Linked DNA regions of Nothobranchius furzeri. The protein of the gene in region 3 interacts with the protein of the main gene of each other region in a pairwise test. Links are inferred from orthologs where the notes say so. Each region holds a gene or a part of one and is shown on either strand. Other genes may lie near its edges.

Region 1 (4,209 bases), on a different chromosome or scaffold from region 3:
TTTGTTTTATGGGACGACGGATGGAAATAGGCATTTTTGCTAAATCTGGGGTAATTACGTTCATTAATAGGAACAGTCCCATTCAAATAATCAACAGTTTTAAATAGAATCTTTAGGCTCCTTGCTACTGACAACACCATACAAAGACACCATTTGTTTTAATTTCTCGCGTTACAACATCAATAAGGTGATTTCCAAACAGATACCAACTGTAAACTTGCTGGATTTCTATTTTTTCTTACTTTAGAACACTAAATCATCTTTTGGTTTTCCTACAGTGTTTTCATGACACCATCCTTGCTGGGATCATCCTAAAAATTGCCAGTGTCCATATAAAAAGAATGAAATTGAAAGATTTTAGTTTCTCTTCCTTAAGAAAAAGTGGAAATAGTTTGAGACATTTGCACAGAACGTAACCCCCTACCCTGCTCTGCTGTGCTGTAGAAGTACTTGTAGTTGGGATTCCCATTTTTGTTGCTGATTTCTGGATGGACTTTGCCTCTCGGATCTGTAAGTGGAACAAACAGGTTTTTTAGTAGTATGGTGCACGTTTATTGATGCTCCTTGAGTGTATGCAGGCTTTTAAATGTGATCAGCAGGGCAAAAGGGACCAGCAGCAAATTCCCAGGGAGCTGTCCCACCGATGGGATTCCTGTCAGGACATGTTTAAAGGCCCCGGTGTGATCCCGCTCCAAGAGCTGCTCAGGCTCTGCTATAGTATGTCGCTTCTTGAAGAGCCACTGCTTTTTTATCGTAAAGATCTCAATCGGGTTTTATGCAAATGAGTTCATACCGAGGAAAAGAATCCGAGGAATGTATCCACCGTCTGGGCTGAAGGCTTCATCCTTGGGCTCCTCTTCATCCTGTCATAAACAGTTACAACTTTAACTACCTGATGCATGACTGCTGCTTTAAGGAAAATGAAAACAAAATTAAACCAATTGCTGTTTCTCACCTCCACATTCACCATTACAAAGTTGTGTGCCAGTTCAGAGATTTCCTTGGATTCAGCAAATTTGGGCTTCAGGGCTGATTTGTAACAAATAAGAAAAGAAAGTTATTTAAAAATGTGACTCTTCTTATCTCTACTTGATAGTTTTAGAGTAAAAACTTTGAACATTCTGAAAAGAAGCCTTTCACAGAGCGAAAGCCGGTATGGGCCATTGCCTTCCTTGTTTTTGAGGAAAATCTGAGCTAAATGACAACTTCCTGGAAGTACTTCTGTGTTTTGGGATTGGCAAAAAAAAAAACTAAAACCAGATGGAAGTAACTCCAAGATCAAACGCCTCACAAGTCGGACCAACTTCACTGTTGCTTGTATTATTTATGAGTGCCAGTGGACACCAGAGTTTTGTCTGGCATTCCCAGAAAAAGAAACAGTAAGTAAATACCTTTGCAGGCTCCACACCAGCTCTTGTGGATGATGAGCATGATCGGCAGCCCGCTGTCAATTCACCAACATGGACACATGCATCAAAGTCAGTCAGAACAGTAAATATACAACGTAGACTTTCTTTATATAAACCGGAAATGCAAGATTTTTAAAAGGAAGGGAGTTGGGACCCAAATGAAAATGTTTCTTGTTCCTCCAGATAATATTTACACAAGAGGCTTCAAACAGGAAGCTACCTGGCTTCAGCTTCCTTCTTCCCATCTTCCAGCGTCCTCCAGTGGATATTGTCCCCAAATCCTGCAGGGTTCATGAGCACAACAGCATTGTGTAACTGGAGTTAAATTTCCACACAAGGGTGGGTCTGGCCTAAATACAGAATCAATACAAAGAACTGGGACAAATAACTAATATAACTGGTATGTTATGTTAAGGCTAAACTTTTAAGTAAAATAAAATCAATTATTTTAAGAATTGAACGAGAAACTTAATGGTTACTTTCTGTTTTGGTGGAGATAATTATTAATTTAATCAAATTGAATCGGAATTAAACAATACAGGTTTAACAGACCTAAAGTATTGTTTTATTTTTGCTTTAAGTCAAATGAGGTGTTTGTAGAAGAAGAAGTATCATTTCTATAGCGCCTCTCAAGATAAAAATCACGAGGCGCTTCACAAAAACAAAAAATGTAAAAATATAAAAAATAATTTAGAAAATGTTTAAAAATATATTTAAAATGAGCAAAAAATAGACAATTGTGATTAAAAAATGTAAAGAAAGAAAGAAAGTGAACAGGAAAGAGGGGAATCAGTGGACGAGGAAGGTGAAATAGGTAGGGAGAGCAGAATAAAGAGAGTGGTGAAGAAGAAGTTATACAAAAGCCAGCTTGAACAGGTGAGTTTGAAAGCTGCTTTTTAAAGGAGACCACTGAGTCCACTGATCTCAGGCTCAGGGGGTAGTCTTGTAGAATTAACTTTTTCGTGTAAGATTTATTAAAATGCATAAAATACATTTTCAAGAAATAAAGCATGAGTGTCTGGAAGTGAAACAAGTTAGTGACACTAGACACAACACGCCTGTTTATTAGTCTTCAAGGACGCACACAATGTGATCCGGGATGCTGACAAAGAACAGCAGCTCTCATTTCTACCACACTTTCAATGAAGCTGCTCCAGCCTGCTTAAAAAACTTATTTTCTCCTATATATGAACTCACCTCTCCCACTGGCGGCTTCCGCAACCACATCAAAACACGAAAAAGACAATAAAACCTGGAAAAAGGAGAAAGCAGCGACATTTACTACAGACAGTTGCATGTTTATTGCCTTTCTTTCCCACAACTGCGGCTAGCAGGCAATGGTAGTAATGGAAAGCTCAATAGTCAGTGACCCGGATGTGCAACCGCAACATTTCACAATAAAGGTTTTGTCTCGGAATAAAAATCTTAACAGCGCGCATGCTAGCCATGGTAGCGCGCGCGTGTGTCTCGCTTGCTATTGGCCACCAGCTTTTTTTTTTCCCATTTAGAGACGCGTTCACGTGACATTACATCTACACAACCGCGTGCTCTTCAATGCAGTGTTATGTCAAGCTAGACAAACAATGTTGGTATAAAACCGGAAATGACGACGAAAATTGCAAAAAATAAGTTAACCAAAGGAAAGCAGAAAGTTGTAAGTAATTAAGTTTTTGTTATTAAATCTTTGCTATGTATATATTAAATTTATTTCGTTAGTAAAATAGCATTTTTCCCCAAATTTGTGTAAAGTAATTACAATTTCTGCACGTGGATGAGATTTATTTGGCAAAATAATCACCGGAAGTTGTATGTTAGACTACTAATTTGACTGGTGTCTAATCCGTCTTGCTCCGTTCCTAGCAAACACAGTTCAACGGGCTGTTAATTCACAATCAGAGGTAAATATACCGTTTAAATTAGCGCTAAATATTTTATTTGATGTTGTGAAAGCCGTATCTTTTGGTGTGGCTCAGGCTTTAAATAGATAGTCAAAGTTATTTCACGGCATTATTTTACCGTTAGCGTTAGCTCAGTCTACCTCGATATTTCTCAACTAGCTAGCTTCAGTTAAGCACCAACGTAAGTTTAAAATAACTCATTAATTAATTAAATTAATTTCTTTATTTTGCTTTGTTTAAATTAATTTCTTTGATTTGATGGGGTTCATGTGAGTAAAAATGCTAACTGGCTTGTCTAAATTCTGCTAACCTGCTGCTAAGGTGTGAAGAAAGGGCTCTTGCCCAACACACTGCTTAGCTAGCATTCTTGTGTCTGAACGGCTAGCTGGTTGGGCGGTGTAAACTTGTATATTTGGGTTTTTAACGAGGATTTAATTTTTATTTTATTTGTTTTATTAAACCAACAGAACATTATGAATCAAGAGAAGCTGGCCAAACTTCAAGCTCAGGTCCGGATAGGAGGAAAGGTACAATTTAAAGCTTGACTTTTTGTTGTAGTTCCAGATGTGATGACAAATGTTTAGTAGTACTTGATTAAAATTAGTCGGACATTTTATTTTAAGAAGTTTAAAGGTATTTGGAGTCGGCCAAATCTTTTCTACTGACTTCAGCATTCTCTTTGTTAGGTGAAGCTCTGGCCCCTGCATCTGTGACCTTTGTGGCTTTGTGGCATTAACCGTCAGGTCTTCAGCCACACACTAGATGGCATTATTTTTAATTTTGTTGGGAAAAGTTCTTCCGGCTCCAGCAGCCACATAACATTTTCTACAATAAAAAAAATACTATCAATTAAAAATATAGTCCTTCCCTGGCCTTCCTTTTGCGACTAATGTCCTTATTGT
Region 2 (4,148 bases), on a different chromosome or scaffold from region 3:
CATCTGTAAGCACTTTCTAAACTTGCACTGATACTAATTAAAATTGTGAAAACCCTGAAGATGCTTTGGGTTTAAGGTCTCAGTATGCTTCAAATGAACCTCACACAACAGGACTCTTTAAATCCAACTGCATTTGATTCAAATGGCTCACGGAGATGCACTTTAACTATAAATCTAATCATGTTTCAGTTTGTTTGCAAGTCATCACATCCATCTTTGTGTTTGTCTTCTCCCTTAATTCTTCCAATTTTCACTTTATTTTTTACAAGCTTGAACATATTTATCTGATGTGGGGTAAGACAGGTTGTTATCACACAGAAAGTATAGCCTGATGTTTATTTGTGAGGCTACAGAGATCACACGAGCAACCTGACTGAAGCATACCGAGGACTTAACACTCCTTCTGGACAACCAGACACCAAAGACTCACATTAAAAACCTCACAAACCAAATCCTTCATCCCAGTCTAGAATCTAAATATGTAATATTAGAAGAGGTAATGATGAAAAAGGTTTAGTTGGTAAATAGAACACCAGACAGCCTGTTTGTTGATAAATTGTAGTTTTATGTAGCTTTCATCTGGAGATTATCAGTAATTGATACATTATGACAACCAGAACTTTACGAATGTTTTTCTTTGTCCAATCTTGTGCAGGACTGTTTTGCAGCATGTTTGTTTTTTCAGCTCTGAATAGACACGATGCAGGTTACATGCATAATGGAATTGTTTGTGCAATAAATGAATGTAGAACCTCAAAAAGTCCAGTCTGAAGTTACTGACTTGTCAAATGGAAAAACTTGGTATGGGAACAATTTAGGTGTCGGACTTGGGGTTTAGCACCACCCGCAGGTCATCTGTGGAACAGAAGCATCTTCTCACACGATTTCTTCCCTTTACAAGCCTCCCCACTTCCACAGAGGCTTCCATATTAAAGCACAAACAAGTGTTAGTGATCAGTCTCATCCATCAGCTCATCATCCAAATCATCTTCCTCAGGAACTTCCTCTGGATCTTCTTTTTCCTCCATTTCATTTCTTGTGTCCACATTTTTCTTTGATACTTTTCGTAGTTTTATGTTTGGAAGTTTCTTCAGATCTCCGGTCCATTCTCTGCCAAAAGAAAAATAAAGTTTAAATATTCCATGATTAACATTACAGAATTACTGCATATTTATGCCTTCACTGAAGATGATCTCACTATTTCACTCCATGAGTGATTTGAATGGAAAATGTACCTGATGCATTTCCTGGGTGAGCAGGTGTTCGTTAAATGCAGATAGCGCAAACACTCACCTGAATGTTTTCAGATGCTTTGTATTGATGATGTCTGGAATCTCTGGGGGGGGGGGGATAAAGGAGTTTTTTCAGACCAAAGTGAACGCATGAGTGAAGCATTTTTGCATTGAAACAAACCAAATCCGACGCCTTCGTACTGCGCCTGTTCTCGCTCCACGGTCTGTTTGATGACAGCCTCTCTGGCGCCATGAAGACGACCCTGCCGACCTTTGATCCCATTCATCAACTTGATCTGTTCCAGTTCTGAATCAAATCTGTGAAGGTACCTGAACAAACACCAAGATCTTATAATCTCATTGAAATCAGTACAACTCGTTTATGAAGACAAACAGCCTGATGAGATTACTACCAACCACACAGACAACATTTGGGTCACGACGGTGAACTTTTTAAATGTGTTTTAATGTCAATATGCATCATACTGAGGTCAGTAATGTACCACCTAGGTTATTTTTGCACATCTAAATGTTTACATTCAATTCTGCATCTTTCTCATGAAACATTTGAGGCCATCTGTAATTTTTTTTATTCTATTTTGCATTAACTTGTGATTACTTTAATAGCCATTCAGTCTTTTGACAAAGAGGTTGTGTTAAACCACATCATTTTACACAGTAGTTTTCTTTGTGCGATTACCTCTGGAGGAAGACGATGATGCATTTCTGGAGTTTTACGGCCTTAATTGTCACTGAATTTTCAGTGTTTTGATCACAGACACCCTGATCAAATAAAATTAAAGGCTCAGCCCTTTGAAAAGTGTTGGCATGGAGTCTTTGAGCAAATCAAGTTACAAATATTACCAATAAGAGCAAAACAAGTAGAAAAGAAAATGTTTGGGACCTTTCAATAATCTCACAGGCATCTTTCCGGGAATAATTTGTCTTCGCTGAATCCAGCTGACTCTGAAACCACAGCAGCTTCTCACCTGTAATTTAACACCCAGATACAAGATGAATGAGTTTAATCATCTTTAAATGTTTGTATTAGTTCGACTCAAACACTTGTTTACCAATGTTGTTCAGACGCGCTGCTTTCTCGTTTTTCTGCCTGCAGCATCACAAAAGACATTTAGAACATTTCCATCCGGGAATTTTACTTTTTCAAGCCACTTCGAAATAAAACTGAGCAAAGAAATAATTTGTTGCCCTAGACGTCATATCTTGTAATAAATCACAATCCAAATACTACAGAGTTTCTGCTTTTGATGCGTTTTATTTAATTAATTAACAAACCTTTCTTTCCTTTTCAGTCGGTTTTCTTCCCGGGCAAGGTAAGCTGCTTTCCTGCTGTACGGATGAACAACTTTCTCCGCCGCTTTCCCCTTCTGGGTCTTCGGCTGCAAAATAAAAACTAGTTTAAATATTTTATTTTGATTCTATTAACCTTTAACTCGTATTTCTGTTGTTATAAACACAAACGAGCTCATGGAAACAGCCTCACCATCGTTTCAGAGTGAAAACGTGTGTTGAAGCTCTGTTGACACTGAGCACCGGAAACGGAAGTGGTCCGTCGTTGAATTGTGTCGTTAAGGAAACGTTCCGGATGTACACTTGTAATTGGACGGCTGCAAAACTTTCGTCACAATCAGATTTTTAAAAAATGAAGAAAAAAAGTTTTTTTATTGTTACTAGACTTTTGCAATTTCTTAAATGTTTTGACTCTAAAATTTGTTTCATATAAATGAAATAGGATTAAAATAAAAAATATTTTGCTGTAAGTACAACAAAGTTGCAAACTGATAGACAATTTTTTTGATCAAAAGAAATTTTAAAATGAAAAACAGTGTTGTTTTTGTGGTGTAAATAGAGCAAATCACTTGCATTTGAGCAAATAAATATATCTGTTTTGAGTGTGCTTGGTGCACACACAAAAGTATTTTTACATATTAATTTCGACAAATATTAACATCAATCCAGTCAACTTGTCAGTGTGAGGAGAGCAGTCACACTCCTCCTGCACCTCAGACTTCAGTCAGCTCTTTTATAGATTATGTAAAACAATAAGCAGAAAAAAATGTTTTTGTTCCTAAAAGGAACATGTGCAGAACTAGTTATTTCACACTGTTAATGGCTGAAAATCAGTCACTGACAGCATTTAAACTCAGTACAACTTTATTCATTTGGGGCCAATTTGTCACAAAAGTCACTTAAAACTGATATTTCAATGTAAGTTTGTTGCTGTTTATTAAAAGTTGTACAAATAAAAGAGCCAACATACTGCATCAGTTATCAATCTGAGCCAGACAACAGTAGGGAAAAACTAACAGGGAGGTGGATGGTCAAAGGATAGGACTGAAGCACAGAAGTGCATCCTGGGATGTCCTGGGGCACAAGCTCACCTGAGTTAACAAAAAGGGAAGTTTCAAAGGCAAAAAGCAGAACCAACCCCCCCCCCCCCCCCCCACACACACACACACACACACCTTTAAAACGTTCCTCTGCAATACAATAGATGGTTCAAGTAAATATAAGTAAAACAACCCTTAACAGGGTTTCCTGTGCTGGCTCAGCTCACGGCTGTCGCATCTCTAAGACATAATCAGAAAAAGGCAACGAGGAGATGGTTTATGGATTCACTAGTATAACAATTGTGACTCTTCAGCAAATAAAGTCCCTGTTTTTGTAAGAGAGTCATACATAAATTACTTACTTGCTAACAGTAGTCATGGGTTGGTGGTACATCCTCCAGGACAGAGCACCGCCGACTGCCTCCATACCATAAAAACAAAAAACATTTCTTTGTCTCTCATTGTCTACAGATGATCCAGTAAAATTTAAGAGTACTGGATTAATTATATTCTTGACAGACATGTGGTCCTATCCAACATGCAGATCCACTCTCAATATTACTTG
Region 3 (3,650 bases):
ACCGTGAAGTTGCATGCATTAAAAAATCATTTTGTGCATCATTGCATTTATAGATCTGTGCTTGCTCGTCCTCGTCTCCAACGCGTTCAAAAACATGCAGCACAGATCTCAGTTCTAATTCATTCATCACAGGAGATAATGAAGCGCCACCCATTCCTCGTTGTGCTTACAAACACAGCCTGCTTTCATTACTGGTTACCAGCATGGATCGTTTCCTGTGGTAAAATAACAACAGTCTGTCTCATGGAGCACCAGAAGACTAAATCTGTACATCACGCTCAGGGTATTCTCCGTTTGAAAGTGTGTTAGTCACTTTTCGAGCTCTACATTTGGATAGGGTTGCTGTGGGTCTGGAGGACAAAAGCCAATAGAGGTTTTTATTATTCCTACCTGCTCTGCACCTCCTGGTGGGAAGTTCAGCCACTTGGTACCATCGCTGCTCCTCAAAGTCATAACATTCCACACTCCTGATGGCCTTAGGAGCCTGACCTCCAACCACCACCATCACCTAAACACCAGAGAAACAAGAGTTACGAGGCAAGCTGTTGGGGGTGTGAAAGAGCTCGACCCCCTGACCCGTAGCCTCTGAGTGGTGGCCGTGTTTCTACCTTGGGACTGGAGGCAGGGGTTCTCATTCTGGTGCGAGCCGTCTTCATCAGAGCTCTCTGGTCTGCTGGTAGTAGGTGGTACTTCATGGCCTCAATCAGGTAGTCTTTACAAGCACTGCTGTTTTTGATGAGGGATTCCTCCTCCACACGCTGCCACGGCAGAAGAGGAACCAATCAAATTGGGTTGTTTCAAGGACAACTGATAGTTACTTGCTCTTTAAAGAGAAAAACAACAATATTATGCGCTAACTCAATGGTTCCTGGGGGTCTGTGACCCCCTAAAGGGGTCACCCACAATTTTGTCTGTGCTGAGGTTACCAAAACTACATTTGTAAAAAAATAGCATTTTGAAAATCCCACCTTACACACCCAATAGTATAAATCAAACTCTGTAAGATTTATAACTCTGAATGTCTGCATAAAGTTTGTAATAATCCCTTTTAATGTGCATATGTGGGTAGGAGTTGGTGTTGGGGGTCCTTGGCTTGTCTTGAACCCAGGCAAGTGTTGGGAACCATTGCGTTAACTGTCCCATCACTTGCATGTACAAAATGTGATGACTACTTCCATTTAAGTTAGGCTAACTGTGCCACACAAACAAAAATATCTAATTAACTAAACCTCAGATCTGTCGTTTTTTTATTTATTTTGAGTGAGAGAAGTGGCTGAAGAGTTTGTTGTATAATATGAGCATGGTATGTCAAGGTTGCGTCATTAAAGAGCAAGTCAACCCGTACCAGATTCTAACTCCACTCCCACTTCATGTTTGAAAAATGCAACAAATGCTGTTGCCTGGCAGACCGAGAGGGCGGAGCTGCTAACAAATACACAAACACACAGGCATTGTGACATCATAACGTACCAGTTTACATCATAGCATACCTCTTAGCCAATAGTGGTGGCAGATTTAAATTAGAATACAGTGCAGAGTTTTTACCTGACAACGGCACAACACTGACAGTTTTAGGCAGAATATTTAAATTTTAACTAAGATGCACTGAAGTGCCAAATTATTGACGACACGTGTCTGCAGCACGATTAGACACTCGTTTATTTAGTTTATCAGCAAAAAAAAGTTTATTTGGGGGTGACTTGCTCTTTAAAGTGACAATGTGTAGTTTTTACCATTCATTTCTGGAAATAATCAATTAAACTGTTGTAAATAAATTCAATGAAGTCCAGTTGTTGAAAAATATTGGTGGTTTCACAACACATAACCATAAAAATCTGTTCTAAAATACATGGGAGCGGGTCTAAGGCCCAATCTCAATACTCGCACTGCACCCTGTGGTCTTCAACAAAGTGCACTTGGAGAAAGAGCGCAGTAGGGTTTGAATGCATAGTACACAAGTGTGCAAATAATTGCCGAATTGAGACAGGGAGCATTGCGTCATCGATCGCACCGCACGCCGGGATGCTGGTCGCTGTCAAACTTTTTTCAAAAACCTTTATTAACAACTTTCAAACAACAAGGCAATTCTTTGAAATAAATTTTACTTCATTGCTGCTTTGTCTAAAACATTCAGAGCATCAAATAATCTTCCTAAAATGAACAAATTTGATTAGAAAATACATATTTTCAGAAAAGGAACTTGAGCCATTTCTCCCGCAGCAATGACTTGTGGGTAATACCGTTGCCCAAGGTCCACATCACTGCGGACTTGGGTGAAGTGCAGATTAAGGGTGTAATGGGGGCGTGGCCAACTTCCACGCTTGAGAATCGGGACACTCTACGCACTCGCACCCCTGGCCAGGAATGTAGGACGCAAGGGTGCAAGTGCGAGTATTGGAATTGGGCCTAAGTCTCTGGGCAACGCCATATTGGATGCCAAGTTTCAGTCCCGTGACAACAAAGTGCATTTACTGATTTGTAACAAATGGTTGCAAAACTTTCAGCATTAATAAAGATTTTTCTCTTACACGTTTACCTCTTCACTCGTTGCAAGTAATGAAAGGGAATCTGATGTTCTTGTTATTTTGCTGGAGGTTGTACTCCCAAGGATTTTTTACCCTAATGGCCATCTGTTGGTAAGGTCTTACACAAAAATAATGCTTGCTTGCAAGGATTTAGGTATCTACTGCCCCCTATCGCCAGGGAAAATACACGCTGTCACTTTAAAAAAGTAAAAATGGATACAGATAACTACCAATATTTCATTTTAATCCCGATATCGGCTGAAAGTGATAATGGGTGGATAATATCGGACATCCCTACTGAAGGTGTGAACGTCAGTGACTCTGCTCACTCATCAGTATCATTCCATGGTGATCTTCATCACCCCAGTGTTTTAGACTTGTCTCAGTCTTGCTTTGCCCTGACTAAAGCCCCGCTGTGAGGCACATTTAAATATGACCCTGCAGTCACCAGAACACCTGTTGTGTTACCAGTAAAATCAGAAACAAGCTCACCCTTTTTGATTTGATCACCTGTTGTCTTCTGTGATAGGAAGCAACTGTGAATTCTAATTTGAAGCCAAAACAACGGAGACAGAGAATCGATGTTTTCTCAGACACTGGTAAAACAAACAACACGCAGGCCAAGACCAGCGCACCTGCACCAGGTATTCTCTGGAGAGCAGCGGTAGACGAACATGCTCCATCAGGTGAGCCAAGTGTTCCTGGCGGACATCTTTGTCATGGTTCACCCACGCTATAACTGCTTCAAAGACCTGTGGAGAAATCACACCGGTGTTACGCAAAAGTAATTGGACTGGGGTGTAGAGCCCTGCACGGGACTGTTTTCTCCATCCCGCTCCCGCTGAATTTCTGACCATTACCGCCCGCACCCGCAGTGTGCATGTCCACTCCCGCCCGCAACCGCAAAACTCTGAGAAATTATTACCTCACAATAAAAGAGATGTATTGAGTTTGTGTCCTCAACATGTCATTTTATAGAGTATACCAGGGATCGGCAACCCTCGGCTCTTCCATCCATCTGATGCAGCTCTCTGTGCTTGTAAAATAATGAATGGATATTTAAATAAAATGCTTTATATTTTACTGAATTAATTTTATATCTATGTTGATTCTAAATGTAAAGAT

Evidence for each region.
Region 1: the proteins of klhl2 (region 3) and txndc12 interact in binary tests that used the Homo sapiens proteins (3 or more experiments, as listed by UniProt). The two-hybrid records come from large-scale screens. The link is inferred for Nothobranchius furzeri from reciprocal best matches to the Homo sapiens genes KLHL2 and TXNDC12.
Region 2: the proteins of klhl2 (region 3) and tma16 interact in binary tests that used the Homo sapiens proteins (3 or more experiments, as listed by UniProt). The two-hybrid records come from large-scale screens. The link is inferred for Nothobranchius furzeri from reciprocal best matches to the Homo sapiens genes KLHL2 and TMA16.

What each region holds. Positions count from the first base shown.
Region 1 is NC_091751.1:41,996,873-42,001,081, forward strand, and holds the start of txndc12 (thioredoxin domain-containing protein 12), read right to left. Parts: upstream 2,801-4,209; 5' UTR 2,707-2,800; coding exon 2,607-2,706; intron 1,691-2,606; coding exon 1,630-1,690; intron 1,445-1,629; coding exon 1,392-1,444; intron 1,030-1,391; coding exon 956-1,029; intron 864-955; coding exon 794-863; intron 509-793; coding exon 425-508; intron 1-424. Other genes in the region: transcription factor BTF3 homolog 4, read left to right, coding at 3,781-3,834. UniProt on the Homo sapiens protein: Protein-disulfide reductase of the endoplasmic reticulum that promotes disulfide bond formation in client proteins through its thiol-disulfide oxidase activity.
Region 2 is NC_091747.1:80,901,793-80,905,940, reverse strand, and holds tma16 (translation machinery-associated protein 16), read right to left. Parts: upstream 2,816-4,148; 5' UTR 2,740-2,815; coding exon 2,737-2,739; intron 2,633-2,736; coding exon 2,529-2,632; intron 2,344-2,528; coding exon 2,306-2,343; intron 2,222-2,305; coding exon 2,137-2,221; intron 1,563-2,136; coding exon 1,414-1,562; intron 1,337-1,413; coding exon 1,294-1,336; intron 1,111-1,293; coding exon 948-1,110; 3' UTR 545-947; downstream 1-544. UniProt on the Homo sapiens protein: Involved in the biogenesis of the 60S ribosomal subunit in the nucleus.
Region 3 is NC_091744.1:20,905,553-20,909,202, forward strand, and holds part of klhl2 (kelch-like protein 2), read right to left. Parts: intron 3,278-3,650; coding exon 3,161-3,277; intron 759-3,160; coding exon 609-758; intron 509-608; coding exon 391-508; intron 1-390. UniProt on the Homo sapiens protein: Substrate-specific adapter of a BCR (BTB-CUL3-RBX1) E3 ubiquitin ligase complex that mediates the ubiquitination of target proteins, such as NPTXR, WNK1, WNK3 and WNK4, leading most often to their proteasomal degradation.